Oreochromis niloticus: one gene and its partner. The protein of the gene in region 1 interacts with the protein of each later gene in a pairwise test. Links are inferred from orthologs where the notes say so. Each region holds a gene or a part of one and is shown in the gene's direction. Other genes may lie near its edges.

Region 1 (8,311 bases):
TGGTGGTCCATCCTGCGCACACAGTGGCCACAGCGACTGCAGTGGTGCGACCTTTTAGGTCTCATTAAGTTGCACTTATTGCACAACTCCCAGTGCTCTCTCTCTGAAACACAAAGACAACAAACACTATGTAACAATCATCAATCCGAAGAGAGTTGATACTGCTAGTCGGTACCGGAGTAACAGACAAACTGGACATATACAAACAAGTGGTAAGCAGTGAGAAAAGCATTTACCAGCATGAGGTATGTGTGGGTCCACAGGAAGACGGCCTGGATCTGCCGTGGAAGCTCTGAACAGCGCTGCTAGGCAGAGTCCTGAAGCTATGTAGTAACCTAAAGAAATACAGTGTTTTAATTCCACTGATGGGGTGTGATTGGGCACATTCTTTTCCAGTTTCCAAAGAAACTCATTTTCAGTTTTTCACGTGTCAACACAAAAGGTAAGGAAACTCACAAACAACAATGGCCCAAGGAATGTGTCCCTCATTGTAGTGTGGAAACAGAACCAGTTTGGGAACAAAAAAAGTGTTGTAGAGCCAGATCCCAAATACCATACTGATGCACAGCCAGCCCATAGGATCCACCACGAAGTGCAGTCGAAGCTTCATGGTTGCTGGGAATTCTGGGAAACCTACAGTGTACCAAGCACGCAGGCACACACAAATTTAAGACACTGACAAACATGGTGTGTAGTTCTTTAGTTTACAGCTACTTGAAATGATGTGTTTCAGGCAAAATACCCATCACTGAGACCTGCATTTTGCCCTGCACATTATAATAGATCTATAACTAAACAACAGCAGGATTAAGGATACCTTTATAAGATTTGTACGTACAAGGACATATCAGATACTGTGTGGAATGTGTCTTAAACAAAGGCCTAACCTCTGTGTAATGCAAAGCAGATGTTTATCAACCAGGCACCTGATAGCCTGAGCAATCTACCCCCCAGCTGTCAGACTCCTGAACTCTGCCTCCTGACATCTGACCCACGTTAAACTCATGGACTGAACATACACACACCCACAACCACTAGCACTTTATCACTATCACAATTATCCTAACTGCACTACTGTATAGTTCTGTGTGAATATCATTCTGTACATATGATAATTTTTCAATCCTACAACTGTTTATAACTTGCATAGTTCACATTTCTGTATAACTGTATATCTCAGATTTCTGTATAGTTTTTATTTCATATTTATATCCTGTTCATAGCCTGTACATAGCTTTTACTCACTACAGCCTGTACATACTTATAGTTATAGAATATTCATAACATACTTCACACCGTGTACATTATAACATACCATAATAGACCCATTTCTGTAATATACTTACACATCTATATTATTGCTAATATATATTGTATTATATCTATATCACGGCTAAAAGCACTTTCTGGATGGATGCAAACTGCATTTCGTTGCCCTGTACCTGTGACATGTGCAATGACAATAAAGTTGAATTCTATTCTATTCTATTCTATTCTAACCTTACACTGAATCTTATTATCAGCATTATCGAATACAGTAACACTGCTAGAACACAGTACGAACAGCCCTCATAACCACGTAACCACTACCAGAGCCTCGTTATTTGTAAAGCCTCGCCTGCTCCATCATTCATAGTGCTGAAAACACTCACAATCGTGATGGGCTGGGTTCTATAAGCCTGACTGTGTTAGCTAACATCTACGGGCCAACGCTGCTGTGCTTCACTCGCGTAGATATGAACCAACGCGTTTATTGTCAAATATACTTCTCGTGAGCCAAAATGAAAAGACACTTACTTTTTCGTCCTATTCGGCGAACGAATCAGTGAGACTACTTCCTCATCGCCTCTGTGGGACCTGTTTTGCTACCTGCAATGGAAAAAAAAGTCACACTTCCGGTCACATTTCCAGTCTAAAAAATAAAACCGGAACAAGCATTATTTGCATTTTTTCCTTTAAGTATAAACGGGGATTTAATGGGAAGCATTGAAATTTTTAATAAAGGTATTCTGTTTCATATTACGTAAAACGAAATCATGGAAAACTAAAAACAAACCAAGATACCGAAAATGTTAAATTATTCATAAAAGCAATGATTTGATTAAAAAAAAATCACGTCATTTGCTGGCGAGACTTACGTGTTTATTAAGATGTCCTAAGTCTACATAAAAGCTTGGTATTAACATTAAACTCTCGTTTGACGTGACAGATAACGTTAATATGATTTTTTAAAACAACGGCACTTTTTACGTTTGAGCTGTTTTTTTTACGTCGATATTTCTAGTTTCCTGCTCACTCCGCAAAGTCGGCAGCTTGATATTGCTGTTGTAGCAGGTTGGTGGCGGCCTCGCTCTGCTGCCGCCCTGTGGTCAACTGTGATCAATACATTTTGATAAAATATATTCAAAAATACAAACCTAAAATACAGTTGGAAAAACACTATTCTAATGTTAATGTTATAAACGTAAGACAATTAATATTCAACATAATTAATTAAACATTAGTTTGAAAGGTGCGTCAATCCTAATAATGACGTAATTCAACTTCCGCTAGCAATAGCGGCTGGTGTTTGTTGACAGCGACGCCGCATAGCGTAACAGTGCCACAGTAGTTTCATTGTGCTGTTGAAGCAAAAATGGCATCATCCAATTCGTACAAACTCAGGTGTTCAATCCCGGGCCACGAGATGGACGTCAGGGGACTCGCCGCTACTGTTTTTCCAGAGGGAGCATTCGTGTCGGTGTCCAGAGACCGAACCGGAAGAGTCTGGGTACCAAACTCCAGGTAGCTAGCGCTAGCTTGCTGCTCAGAAACTGCTGCCTGGCTACGATTAATTTCAGGGTACAAGTCACTCTGCGCAAAGAGAGTGACTTGTCCGGACACGAAAAGTGTCAAGGCAAATCACGCCTTACTGAATATTTTACTATTTCTGATTTCATATTTGTAAAAATGGCTAGTAGCTAAGTTAGCCAAAAAGCACAGTGCTAACGTTTGCTCAAATTAGCTTTGTCATTCATTCAGCTGCAACTGTTCTTTTACGAAACACGAAACTGAAACAGATTCGGAGTGTTTATTTTTGTCAGTTAATTTGCCTAGCCATCTTACAAATAAGAGCCAAAAGAACCTAACTTCTTCCCTCAGTAATAATTGTTAACTTTCGTCCTTTTCTCCTTCTGACAGCTCAGACAAAGGCTTCACAGAAATGCACTGTATGTCTGGACACTCAAATTTTGTATCCTGTGTATGCATCATCGCACCCAGTGAAACATACCCTCGGGGACTTGTTGCTACAGGCGGGAACGATAATAATATTTGTGTTTTCTCACTGGACCGACCGCAGCCCATCTTCACTCTCAAGGGTCACAAAAATACAGGTGAGTTGTGCTCTCCTCGCTGTTTTTAGTAGTGAGGATTAACTGCTTGACCTGTTACTCGTCACAGTGTTTCTGGTTCCTGGCTTTCTAACTTTAAACCTCCACAGTTTGCACTCTGTCGTCTGGGAAGTTTGGGACACTTTTGAGTGGTTCCTGGGACACTACAGCCAAGGTCTGGCTCAATGAGAAGTGCATGATGACCTTGCAGGTATGCGGTCCTCTACACTTTTCAGCTTGCTTGGATGGTGATTAGTGTCTCAATTGATTTGAAAAAATTGAGTTTGAAAAAAATTGACAGAACATGTTTTGAGCTTGTTAATTTTGTTACAGGGCCACACTGCAGCAGTGTGGGCAGTGGCTATTTTACCTGAACAAGGCCTTATGCTGTCGGGATCAGCAGATAAGACCATAAAGCTTTGGAAAGCAGGACGATGTGAGAAGACGTTTACAGGTGAGGATATGCAGGTGTATATTGGACTTGGGTTTTTTTGGGGGGGGGGTTGGGCCTTGCATTTTAAACAGATCTGTGTGTATACAAAAAGTAGACTGGCTGATGATTAATATGATTGGTTGTCTGTCTTTGATTATGTGGTTAATAATATAAACCAACAGTATTGTAGGATATTGGACAAAACCATAACTTTGTCAAAGTAAAATTTTAAAATGATAACTGCATATTTTTAGGGTTAAGTTATGGTTAAAAAATATTTCCCTTCCATCATAGGTCATGAGGACTGTGTGAGAGGCCTGGCAGTGATCAGCAACACTGAGTTCTTCTCGTGTAGCAATGACGCAAGTATCAGAAAGTGGCTGGTGACAGGCGAATGCGTACAGGTCTACTACAGCCACACCAACTACATCTACAGCTTAGCTGTCTTCCCCAATAGCCAAGGTTTGTTGATTGTATCAATATTTAAAAACAAGGGATAGAACTGAGAGACTTGAAACCAGCAGTCAGTGGTGCTCTGTGGTTTATTCAGCCGGCTTCCAGTTCTTTTCACATTCTGAGATGGTAGCTACTTCCTACACCCTGCCCTCACCCTTATTTTTTTTTTCCTCTTAGATTTTTATAAGCACAGGGGAGGACCGGAGTCTGAGGATATGGAGGCAAGGAGAGTGCTCTCAGACCATCCGCCTGCCTGCTCAGTCTGTGTGGTGCTGCTGTATTTTACCTAATGGTGACATAGTAGTCGGAGCCAGGTAACAGAGCTGCTTTTGGCATGCTAATATGCAATCAGGTCATAGTGATTTCCTTGATCATGTTACACCGTAAATATTTAAAAGCCCATTAATGACAGTGTTCACTGTCCTCATTCATTGCATCTCTCCTGCATTCAAACAAATGTTGAATGAAGCAGTAAGTAGTTCTGTGGCTAAACCAGAAGCTGCTCCTCTGCCCACAGCGATGGCATTATCCGCGTGTTCACGGAAGCTGAGGACCGCATGGCTAGTGCAGAGGACCTGCAGGCCTTTGAAGATGAACTTTCCAAAGCCACCATCGACCCCAAGACCGGGGATCTTGGTGACATCAAACTGGAGGATCTTCCTGGAAGAGAACACCTGAACGAGCCTGGTAATGCAGCAGGCTGCTATTTATTTTGTCATATAAAACGGTGAAGCTGTTCTCTGTGCATCAGGGTGGATTTGTTTACAACAGGGAATCGCGATGGACAGACACGGTTGATCAAAGATGGACAGAAGGTGGAGGCATATCAGTGGAGCGTCAGTGATGGCCGCTGGATGAAAATCGGAGACGTGGTCGGAGGCTCAAACCAACAGACCTCCAAGAGTGTCATGTACGAAGGAAAGGTGAGGCTACAAGCTCAGAGTCAGTAAGCGGGACGTCGCATATGAGCTGTCATTAATGTGACCCCCCCCCCATCTGCGTGCAGGAGTATGATTATGTATTCAGCATTGATGTGAATGAGGGAGGGCCATCCATGAAGCTGCCTTACAATGTGACAGACGACCCCTGGCTGACAGCGCACAACTTTCTGCAGAAGAATGACCTCAGCCCGATGTTCCTTGACCAGGTTGCCAATTTTATCATTGAGAACACCAAAGGGCACGTGGTGGGACCAGCCCAGCCCGCTGGTGGTGACCCCTTTACTGGTGAGGTCCAAAAGATGGATACTGCTGCTGGCTTCTTTGCTGTACATTTAGAACAATTTCACTGGAACGATTAAGGAATCTTAGATAGGATGTATGATGTGTTTCACCTCTTTATTTGACAGGAGGAGCTCGGTATATCCCTGGTTCTTCCAGTGATACTGCAGGCCTTGGAGCTGATCCTTTTACAGGTATAGTTTGTTTACTCAGAGGTGTTCATAGTCAGAACTTTTATCTGTAAGTGCAGTTTCACAGCTGTGTTTTTTGTTTTTTTTTTCTTCACAGGCGCTGGTCGCTACATCCCAGGGTCAGGCCCAAACCCAGGTGCTCCTGTTGGTGTAGCGGATCCCTTCACAGGTAACTTGGTATCAAAAGGAACAATTGGGACTTGGGAGATACAAGTCCCAATTGTTCCTTTTGATGGAGTTATGAGGCCTGTGTCTCATACTTTTTTCTTCTTCTTTTTTTTTTTTTGCCTTTAACTAAATTGCTCCAGGACTGCAGTGAATTATCGAGTCATTTGAAGAACACAGTTCTTGCTTCGGTACCTAATATAATCCACAACTGTGGAGCTCAGTCATCACCACATAAATAGTTTAACGTGCAGCTCAAGGTCTGTCTACACACACCTTAAAGAGGTGGAGCTGTTACCGAGACTGAGCTCAAGTGGTGTGAAAGAAAAAGGCTTTTAAGTCTCCAAAACAGCAGTGTTTGTTGTTGTATTCACAGTAAAAATCTTTACTAGGAAAAAGATGGTGGAAGTCCTGAATGAAACCAGCTTTTCAACAAGCTCTAGCGTGAAGAAAAGGGAACTTTGGAGCTGCTCCCATCCACCACTGTTTGTCTTACACAGTGAAAAGCTACAGAAGTTAAAATAAAAGTGTTTAAGCAGATTAGCTGTTAACTTAATCTGATGTGATGTTTAAATTAAGCAGCTTACTGAAGGCTGTCATCAGCCGTCCTGCTTTCTGTCACAGCAGCTAGCAGGGGCGAATCTAAAGTGGATACTGGAGTGTGCCATTATTTCAAGGCTTTAGTAACATTACTTTGTACATTTAGATTCATATAAAAAGGTTGGCCATTGAATTAATATTAGCATTAATTATTAACATTTACACCATCATAGCATTTATTTTCTGCAGTAGGAAACATTGCGTGAAAGCACAGAGCAGACCTCTGAGAATGCTGACATGCTCGCTTTTCTTCTTTAATATTATATTTCCTTTCTGTCTCCCTGCTTTGCAGGAGGCGGTGCATACTCCTCATCAGCCTTGAGACAAACAACCAACATCTACTTTCCCAAGACTGATGGTGTGACCTTTGAGCAAGCCAACAGCTCTCAGATCATTGGTAAGCATTTCAGTGTGGTTTGTTAACTCTCGCTGAATAACTTGTGCTTTAAAGTGGGTGATATTTGGAGCCTTCATATATTTTAAGAATTTTTATTTTATTCTTGTCCGTAACGTAGTGTAAGAAAATGTGTTTTCCACCTGTCCTTAACAGCTAAGTTGAAGGAGCTAAATGGAGGTGCTCCTCAGGAGCACAAGCTCTCTGAAGAAGTTCTGGAAAGCCTTGAGAGGCTTTTGTTGTCTGTGTGTGGACTCAACTCCTCTGAGCCTGCTCCGACCATCCAACAGATCAACCTGCTTTGGAAGGCTTCTCACTGGCCTGAAGGTAATAAAAAAAAAAAAAAAAGTCTCATCCCAATTCATGTGTGTTTTAATGCTCTTTAGGTCATTTTTCTTCACTAATAAGACCCCACCCCAATCTTTCTTCATGCTTTGTAGATATTGTGTTTCCTGTCCTGGACATTATGAGGCTGGCAGTGCGCCACCCGCAGGTTAATGAGAGCCTTTGTGGAGAGGCAGAGGGTGTACAACTGTGCAACCACCTCCTGAACCTAATGAGGCCCGAGGGGCGTCCTGCCAACCAGATGCTGGCACTGCGGACTCTGTGTAATTGCTTCAGTGGCAGGCATGGCCGAGCCCTGCTCATGGCCCAGCGCGAAACGGTGCTATCACGTGCTGCTGACCTGGCCACCGTCTGCAATAAGAACATCCATATTGCCCTGGCCACTCTGGTGCTTAACTACGCTGGCTGTCTCCATCACCAGCCTGACCTTGAGGCCAAGGCCCAGTGCCTATCTGTGGCCAGTAGAGCCCTGGAGACAGTACAAGACAAGGAGGCTGTATTTAGGCTGCTGGTAGCCTTGGGAACCACAGTGGCCTCAGATCAAACAGCCCAGGATCTGGCTCGCTCGTTGGGAGTCAGCTCTCAGATTTCCAAGTACTCATCAGTGTCTGATCCATCGAAGGTGGGAGAGTGTTGCCAGCTGCTTTTAAAAGAACTACAATGATATGAATGATTTAGACAAAAAAGAGCACTTGTTTCTATTACTCTGTTCTACTTAACCAGTTGTGGTGGAGATCTAAATAATTGTATGTTCCACAATAAAAGAAGGACAAGTGAAAATTTGCCACACACTGACTCTGTTTTTATTGCTGCAGCACCTCTCCAAAGCCTTTTGACTGATTTATTTTTTTAAAGTATGTGCTTAACAGTGTATGATTGATTTACATGTGTAGAAAACAGTTTACTGTGTAAAGTTACTTCTCCATTGATCCATTTTCTGCTTCTTATCTCAGTCCAAGCAGTCTGTGCAGAGATATCCAGGCCTCCCTGTCCGCGGTTTCTTAACTGACTCAAAAGCTGTGACAGATAATGTGAGGTGACATCACTGTGTCCAATAAAAGAGCAAAAGCATTTATTTGAAGCTAACAGAACTGAATAAAGTTACGCAACAAAAAGCCATGAGATGTCAGTAGTGT
Region 2 (8,311 bases), on another chromosome or scaffold:
AGGGAAATGGGTATAAATAGTAGAATGTTCCGATGGATTAAGGACTTCTTAACAGACAGACAAATACAAGTAAGGGAGGGTTTAGCAGAAAATTGAACACCACAAAGGAGCATTGTGAGCAGACTATTTTTTTTAATGTTGCTAAATTATTTGTTTAAGGATGTAGAGGGTGGAATCGGGTTATCACTTTTTGCAGATGATGAGGCAATGTGGAGAACAGGAAGAAATTTAAAATTTATTATACAGAAGCTACGGGGAGCAGAAGTGGAAAAGTGATCGCATAACTGGGGGGTTTAAGTATTCGGTTGATAAGACTAAGATAATGTTTTTTACAAGGAAAAGAATTAGTAATGAAATGAAGCTCAGACTATATGGGTAAGAGTTAGAAAGGGTAAAACAATTTAAGTTTTGTGGGTTGTAGTGTGATGAAAGGATGACATGGGATGCACATATTCAAAAGATGGTGGATAAATGCAAAAAGGTGTTAAATATAATGAGGTGCTTAGTTAAAAGTGACAGGGGAACAGGCAGAACTTCCTTGAAAGCCATATAAGCTGAATTAATCAGGGCATAATAAGGCAGAAAATAAAGGAAAAGTGGCAAAAACAATGGGACATATGAAAACATAGAACAGGTTTTAGTGCATTGTGAAATATGAATCCCAAATCCCAAATCAAATAGCACAAATCTCAGAGATGAAAAAGTCCCATATTTCCAAAAAACACAAAAACCCCCCCACAGATTTTTTAAGATTCGAGTCATGTCTTCTCAAGAAACACTTTCACTTTGCAAGGGTGCAACAAAGTCATCTCCAAAGGCAACACAAACAGCGAGTCCCACATCCCCCTGCATACAGGCTGGAGAGCTAGTGTAACAGTCTAAAACATGGCTCTATCACAATTTGTTTTAAATATACAGTCCCCCTTCACAGCAACAGCCACAGCAGACAGATTTTACACAAAGAAAATGCCAAATACCCAATAATCCATACTAGGAGCATGCAATTAGCCAGAGAGAGAGAGTATGAAGAACTGCCTTTAAACAGGAGGCGACTCTGAGGCTTAGCAATGCTGGGTGAAATCCATATGCTTATAACTGCAGTGTCACCAGACAACCTCTCTATTCTCTAATATTGTTCTACTATGCTAAACATTTTCTTAGTGTCCCGATGCCACTATGAAAGTGTATTATGCTGAATGTGTTACTGTTATGCATGTATTCATTCATTTGTTCATATGTATGAACCAGTGAAGCTTCCAATAACATTCACTATGAATTAATATTCACTATATTGTGTTTATGTGCAGTGTTTGTACTGGAATTAGTGTTACTTATAATTTGAAATGACTACATCAAATTGCAAACAGTGAATTAGTTTTGGTTTGACTTTTCTTATTAATGATTGTGTTCTCAGGCTGAGTTGTGAATATTTTTTTACTCTGTTTTCAGTTTGTTGAGCTGAAAAAGATCTTGTTACAATATCTTCCTGTAAACACTTACAGGGCTTACAGGAAGAACCCCCAAAAGGCCATTTTCTTTGTAAGGGACCTTTGTGTCTATCACCATCACTGACTGGTGTCAGGGAAAGTCCCATATCCTTCTGACTATTTACTAGAAAGGATGCTTTTGTATTCACTTTTACTTTTGGTTTTCATTTCAGAAAGCTACACGAAGTCAAGCCATACAAATCTTAATCTTTGTGTTTTATGCATGAAAAAGTCTTATAAAGAAGCAGAAACTTCAACTGATTTCACAAGAATTGTTTAATTTATTGCAGCCTTCACATAAATCACCACGAAAACTAAACTAAACAGAGAAACAAGAAACCGAAAGTGTTGCCGTTCATGAGCTACAGAGAGTCCCAGCAGTGTTTGCATGACAAGAGGTGTCCCTCCACAGATAACAGCAGCTCCACTGGAAGCCACAGTTTTTCCATATGGAGATGCTGTTACAGCTGGTGAGACCCAGAGAAAAACACAGCTGAGAGCACCAAGCCAGACCACAGCATTGGATGTACACTTATTCTGTTGGCATCTTCTATTTCAGTGTTTTCCCTGTCGTATATTCAGTTGACAAAACTGAATATAACCAAAACTTACCTTAAACAACTCCTCTGGGCTTTCCTATTTTTGTGGAACTACCACTACAGTCTGTATTGTTTGCATAAGGGAGGTGGGGGTGGCAGCATCGTGGTCCACTTTTAAATCATATGAATTAATGCTGCCCTCTTTTGGTCATCTGTTTCTGACTACATGAACTTAAATCATTTTTATTACACATGATACTTCAACTCTCATGTCACAATACCACCCACACCCAATAAAGACTTAGTATCATCCACTATTTTATCTCTAATCTTGGCTTTTACTGCCTCTAAGATTACATGTGTCCCTTCTGATGCCAATAAAAATCAGGCTCATTCCCTCCAAGAACACGTGCTCCTAGAAATTAACAGTGGTTGCAGTAACCCTAGTAAAACAAAAGATCTATTGTCCTATTTCTTTTTATATTAGGTGTTGAAATGATCTTTAACACAAGTGGTAAACAGGAGCGAGCATCATTTTCTTGTGTCTAGCTCATCTTCTTCCCAGAATCTCACTGAATATCCTCGCTGAACTTTGACCTTTAATCCTCTCCTTCTGTAAAAAAGAAAAAAAAACACAGAGAACCATAAAGCAATATAAGGGCAGACTGTAGAGAACTTCACCCTATTGTCTCCTTCGACTTTGGCCGCCCTGCTATATATTGTTAACAGATAATTCCATTATGAAGGGTCATTAGCGTCTTCAGATAATGTGCACCAAGAGGCCGAGCACGGAAACTAGAACGAACTTGGTCTGGACAGAGAAAGGTGATGTCAGGAAATCAAATAGCACATATTAAACCAACAGAGTTAGAACCTGCAGAAACTGAAATGTATTCATACTATAATCATTTTTATCTGAACAGGTACAATATCGTCTTTGTTACCGAAATGACACCAAACATCTTTGTAAATTACACACATGTTCACACAGAACTTGTTTGCTTTTGAAGGCACTTGAATTCATTATAAATGAATCATCTAATTTCCTTAAAAAATCCTCTGTGATCAACTGTTCTCATTTTAACATAGATACAAATACATATTACAGGATTTGTCCTACAGTGTGCAAGTAGATTAGATGCATGGTGAAATAAACTGGTCTTGTTAATCTCCTGAGTTAGTTTGCTTTCTAGAACGCAAAAGAAAAGTTAATACTTACCCAGTAAAAGCTGCAGGCAAAGCTTCTTCAGTTATTAATTGTGAAAGGAAAACACAAGACAAGTGAAACCCAGATTTAAAAAAGAACAAAATATAAGTGTGAGGGGCAAAAAAAGACAAACGAATAAATAGTAAATAAGAGCGTTTAAAAAACAAGACACCCAGCAGTGAGCGGAGTCTCTGAGTAATGGTAGGCTCGTGAATGAGGGCTGCTTAAGACTACGTGGGGGAGAGAAAAATTAATCATTACACTTACTGTAAATATGTAACAAACCCAACCTGCACATAAAAGTCAGCAAATTGCATTGTGTTTGAACACCCACGGAGACACGCAGATGAGATGAAATCATACATGCAGCAGAGCAACCAATAAGATCATCTGACCTTCCCATCAGGCCTCCCCCACCCCTAATCACCAGTGGACATAATTCCTCTGCTGACACATTTCACTGAAAGTACATATCCCTCTCTCTCTCTCTCTCACTCACTCTTACTGGGGCGCAATTTATTAAAATCACCTGATTAAATATCTAAATGGAAAGAACATTATGAGATTATTTTAAAGAAACGATTGATGAATAATCAAAATCTGGGCCAACTCCATCAAGTTGTACTGTTTATTCTGGTCTTGGATATATATAAAATCCAAATCTGGACTGGACTTTTGAAGTGACTGCAAGATGATATATGATTTTTTTTTTCAAATGATTTGTAAATTATAGACAATAATAAGAACTTATGTATCCCCCAAAACACAAACCGTTTAAAAATGACCCAGATTTGAAGGATTTTCTATTAACAGTGTTTCTTTACGCTATTGTTTTGAAGATGACCTTTGAAGACAAAGAGTGTTTGCCTGAAACAAATTTGTAAAGTGCATTTGGCTCAAGCTCAAAGTGAGTGATTCCTGCAAACAGTTCATTCCTGCATGTATCTTTGGTCAAAGTGTGAGAACAATAATTGTAAATGAGTTACAAAGGGAGAGCCTCTTTTTCTTCCTCCAAGCCAGTTAGATGCATTTATAAATAGCACATCTAAACCAGTAACACACTCAATGTGTTTCTGATCTCACTGACTTTGACGGGAATTCCGGTTTAACACCCTATTTCACACCAAATTATATTCATTTTAAACCATAAATAGAGGTAGTGAAATAATGATTTAATATTCACTTAATCTTTATTTCAGAGGTAAACACCTTGCATTGTGTATCATTTGACATGGTTTTAGTATCCCGGTATTGATATGCTGCCGTAGCGGTGATGAATAGATGGGGTCAGGTGAACCCTGCAGTAGCTTACGTGTTACTGTTCATTATTTGCATGTTAGGGAGGCTTATTCATACATTTGAAGTATAACTCAGTAGAAGCTCAAGGTGTATACACGTGAAGATAGCGTCGTCAAAGTGTCGCCAGTAAGTGGAGGATCTGTATGTTGTTTGTCTTTTAAACATATTTTAAGACTACAAAAACCGTTCTTCCTAATAAGCGTGAATTTCGCGTTGTTCTGTTTGACCCGTGTGGGCTTCCTTACTGGTGAAGCGGTGCTGTCCGATGTGTGAGTAGCTAACTATCCCTACCTTCACTGGGTATATTAGCTCATATTTCCTCCTTGCATAAATAAACTGGCACGTCAGTTTGCATTTAGCTCAAGTATACAAACTAACATTAACGGCACAAGTGATGAAGAGCTTATTGGAGTTCCTGATTGTTTCTAATCGTGCTAGCCAGCGAGGCTTCCCAGTTAGCTTTCGCAATTTGAACGTTAGCCACATTAAAGCTAATTTTAGCTCTCAACACGATGGTATTTATTATATCAAATAACTGCATATGTGTAGCGGGAATAAATTTGTGTTTTGGTAAGCTGCTAGTAAAGGAATCGTTTATTTATATTCACGTAGTGTTATATTCGGACAATAGTGGTCAGTGTAGCTGCTTTAGTCAGCTAAAATAAAGTCATAAGCTCTTGCACTAACTTTAGTTTGGTTAGAAGTCCTTTGAGTTCTTTTCATCATCAGATGACAGCATTTTACTGGTAAGTTAGACGATGAACTCCTCGTTAACGTTCCTGTATTGTTTCAGGTCAAAATGGCAGAGCTAACAACACTCGAGAGTCTGCTGGAGATGGGGTTTGATCGAAACAGAGCGTGAGTGATCCCTGATGCACACATTTATATTGGTTTATTTGGATTCCAGGTTTGAAGCTGATTTCAAGGAAATGAAACTGAAACTGTCTACATTATCTATCATATTATCATAATCTGTCTTTAGAGAGAAGGCAGTGGCCAACACAGGGAACCAGGGAATTGAGCAAGCCATGGATTGGTGAGTTTAGCACTCAGAATAACAACACACTACTTTGAAACCTCACACATTAACATTTTGTCATCACTTACCCCTGTGCCACAGTCCAGCTCCACATGCCAATTTCCCTCATAAAACTATCCAGTGGTTTTCATTTCCCAATGTAAATATGATTGTGGTGATTGGAGAAAGTGACTGTTGTTTTTTCAATTTAGGAAATATTGATTAACTCTGTAGTGTTGTCTCAAAAAGTGAATTAGAAATGCTTGTGTGTGCCTTCATCTCCTCTCACTTGGAAATCGCTGTTTTCTTGTCGGACTGAAACATTTATTATTCGCATCTAATCTGTGCAAGATTATACTGTGAGGCTTTTAACTCATTATAAACTTTCTCATATCACCCAATTTTTAAAGCTGTCACACTGGTTTCCTGTCAGGATTAGTTTACAGTTAAAAATCGTGGTTCTCACTTTTATGGCTTTATGAGGTGCAGCCACCTCCAAGATTGTCCCCCTGCTACTACTCCACCCCTATTCTTCAAACCAAGTTCTTAGACCGGTTTGTGGTTCCTCACACCCGCCTGAAAACTAACATTCCAAAACTTTGGAATAGCTTGTCACACACTCTTTGCACCCTTGACTTTGTGGTATTATTTAAAAGGCAGTTTAAAACTAATCTTTTCAGACATTTTAGTGGTTTGTGTTTTTTTACTTTGTTTGTGTGTGTCCATTTTGACTTGAAATAGGGTGTTTAAAAAAAAATGTTATCTAGACCTCTGTAAAGCTCTTTGTGACTGTTGGAAAGTAATGCATTTTGTACGTACTCTCCTCAGGCTAATGGAACACGAAAATGACCCAGACATTGATGAGCCCTATGTGCCGCCAGTGGGGAACGTCCTGGGAGGAGAAGCACAGAGCCAGCCTAGCACAGCAGACAGCTCTGAAGGTCAGGAGGGGCAGGAAAGTTTTGAAGGTATGTCATTAAAGGGGCAGGAAAGAAAAGTCACCCACAGATTTTCAGTGTGATTGAATATACCACTAGACAACCTAAATGTATCTACTCTAAAGGACTTTACACACTGGATGTGTAAAATCCATGTGAATATTTCATGTGTTAAAAAATATTTTTTGACTTGATTTGGGTCCAGATAAATAGATCTGACCAATCAGACCGCCACATTTGCAGTAAGTGTGCTCATACTGAATGTGTGCACCTGTGCTGTATATCCAAAAGGAAATGGTAAAATTACACTATTTTACCTTTGATAGCTAGACCAGTCAATCGTATACACATATATGTGTACATATATTTATGTATGTGTGTGCATACAGCCAAATTCGGCTACAGAATATGCACACACAGTAAACATATCTTATCTAGCTCTTTATCTCAAAAATGTTGTTTCAAGTGGTTGAGTCACTTCCTTGGTGTTTCGTTGTGGTTCATTGGCACTGCTGTGGTGTTTTAAGGTTTGTGGTATTTGATTTTAGATGGGCCTCTGGTTTTGCTTTGGTTAGTGGTCGGAAGTAAGCTGTCAAAGTTTTCACGTTGTCTTGCCCGTTTGTTTCGGCTTCAGGAATAGCAGGTGGAGACATCGGCTACATTGAGACCGAGGACGGCGTCAAACGGCCAATGACAGAAGAGGAGAAAAATGAGCAAGTCAAGAGGTCAGAGGATACTCAAAGTGCATTTTGCTGATTGGCAGTGTGCATATTGAATATAGAAGCACGTGCGTAATTTAAGCCTGTGTCTGTTTTTCAGGCTCGAGGAGCTGATGCGGGTGAAGCAGGCGGAGAGAAGAGAGCGAGAGCGGGCAGAAGAGGTGGAGAGGGAGAAGCAGCGAAGGAAGCAGGGCCAGGAGCTGCAGCAGATCCGCCAAAAACTGCAGGATGATGAAATGAAAAAAATCGCTGAGCAGCGTCAGAGGGAGAAGATGGAAGACAAACTGGCAAGGTATGTTTTTCAACAACACACATACAGTTAGAGAACATGTGATAATTAGGTTTGGATAAGGATTGCTTACCGGAGTACATAGAGTCTAATAACCATTCAGTCAAAAAGACACTTCTTTGGCTTCCCTATTGGATGTCCAACATGTTTATTCTCATAAAAACAAACTGTCAGTCTTACAGGCCCAAGACTAGCAAATCACACCATCTCATATACAGCTTGGCTAAAAGGCATCCTGTTAGTTTTTAAATAGGATAATGTTACTCTGCTCGATAATTGTCTCCCAGCATAGTCTCATGACAGATGGATGGGCTGTAGAAGAGCATCAGCACAGCAACAGGACTGGTGTCTGGAATCTGGTGTCTGCTTGTGTGAGGAGGAGCACTGCCAGACCCTACAGAATCAACTTTAAACAGCTATTCTTGTGCATGTTTCTGACCAGGCTGTCGGAAACAGACAACGCAAGGGTGACATGAGGGTCGCGGTGATGTTACAGGGATCATAATGTTTGCTACAATGTCTCCACACTCTTTCACGCCTGACACATGTTCTCTATTTGAAGCTTCTTTAATCTGTGGAGAGAATTTGGGTGTTCTCTGGTTAAAAGCCATAAAACTGCACAGTGCTGGGCTGTGAGCTGATACCACTAACAGATTTCAAGCCCTTGTTTCACCCTCGGTGAAATCATTTTCTGACAGTCTGGTGAGAAACATCCACAAGTAACTCACTGTGGTCACTTCAGCTGAGCACTGGCAGTGGTCCTCCTCACACAAAAGAGCAGATACCAGTCATGCTGTTGATTTTTGTGATGTTTT

The links.
Region 2: the proteins of plaa (region 1) and ubxn1 interact in binary tests that used the Homo sapiens proteins (3 or more experiments, as listed by UniProt). The two-hybrid records come from large-scale screens. The link is inferred for Oreochromis niloticus from reciprocal best matches to the Homo sapiens genes PLAA and UBXN1.

The regions. Positions count from the first base shown.
Region 1 is NC_031967.2:11,158,318-11,166,628, forward strand, and holds plaa (phospholipase A-2-activating protein), read left to right. Parts: upstream 1-2,537; 5' UTR 2,538-2,635; coding exon 2,636-2,784; intron 2,785-3,180; coding exon 3,181-3,374; intron 3,375-3,481; coding exon 3,482-3,582; intron 3,583-3,704; coding exon 3,705-3,825; intron 3,826-4,098; coding exon 4,099-4,277; intron 4,278-4,437; coding exon 4,438-4,574; intron 4,575-4,777; coding exon 4,778-4,947; intron 4,948-5,031; coding exon 5,032-5,183; intron 5,184-5,266; coding exon 5,267-5,486; intron 5,487-5,608; coding exon 5,609-5,674; intron 5,675-5,768; coding exon 5,769-5,840; intron 5,841-6,728; coding exon 6,729-6,833; intron 6,834-6,986; coding exon 6,987-7,157; intron 7,158-7,270; coding exon 7,271-7,839; 3' UTR 7,840-7,964; downstream 7,965-8,311. Other genes in the region: palmitoyltransferase ZDHHC21, read right to left, coding at 1-103, 237-335, 457-610. UniProt on the Homo sapiens protein: Plays a role in protein ubiquitination, sorting and degradation through its association with VCP. Involved in ubiquitin-mediated membrane proteins trafficking to late endosomes in an ESCRT-dependent manner, and hence plays a role in synaptic vesicle recycling.
Region 2 is NC_031966.2:21,049,045-21,057,355, reverse strand, and holds the start of ubxn1 (UBX domain-containing protein 1), read left to right. Parts: upstream 1-4,523; 5' UTR 4,524-4,658; intron 4,659-4,664; exon of another isoform or gene 4,665-4,832; intron 4,833-5,325; 5' UTR 5,326-5,331; coding exon 5,332-5,390; intron 5,391-5,514; coding exon 5,515-5,568; intron 5,569-6,378; coding exon 6,379-6,518; intron 6,519-7,122; coding exon 7,123-7,213; intron 7,214-7,307; coding exon 7,308-7,499; intron 7,500-8,311.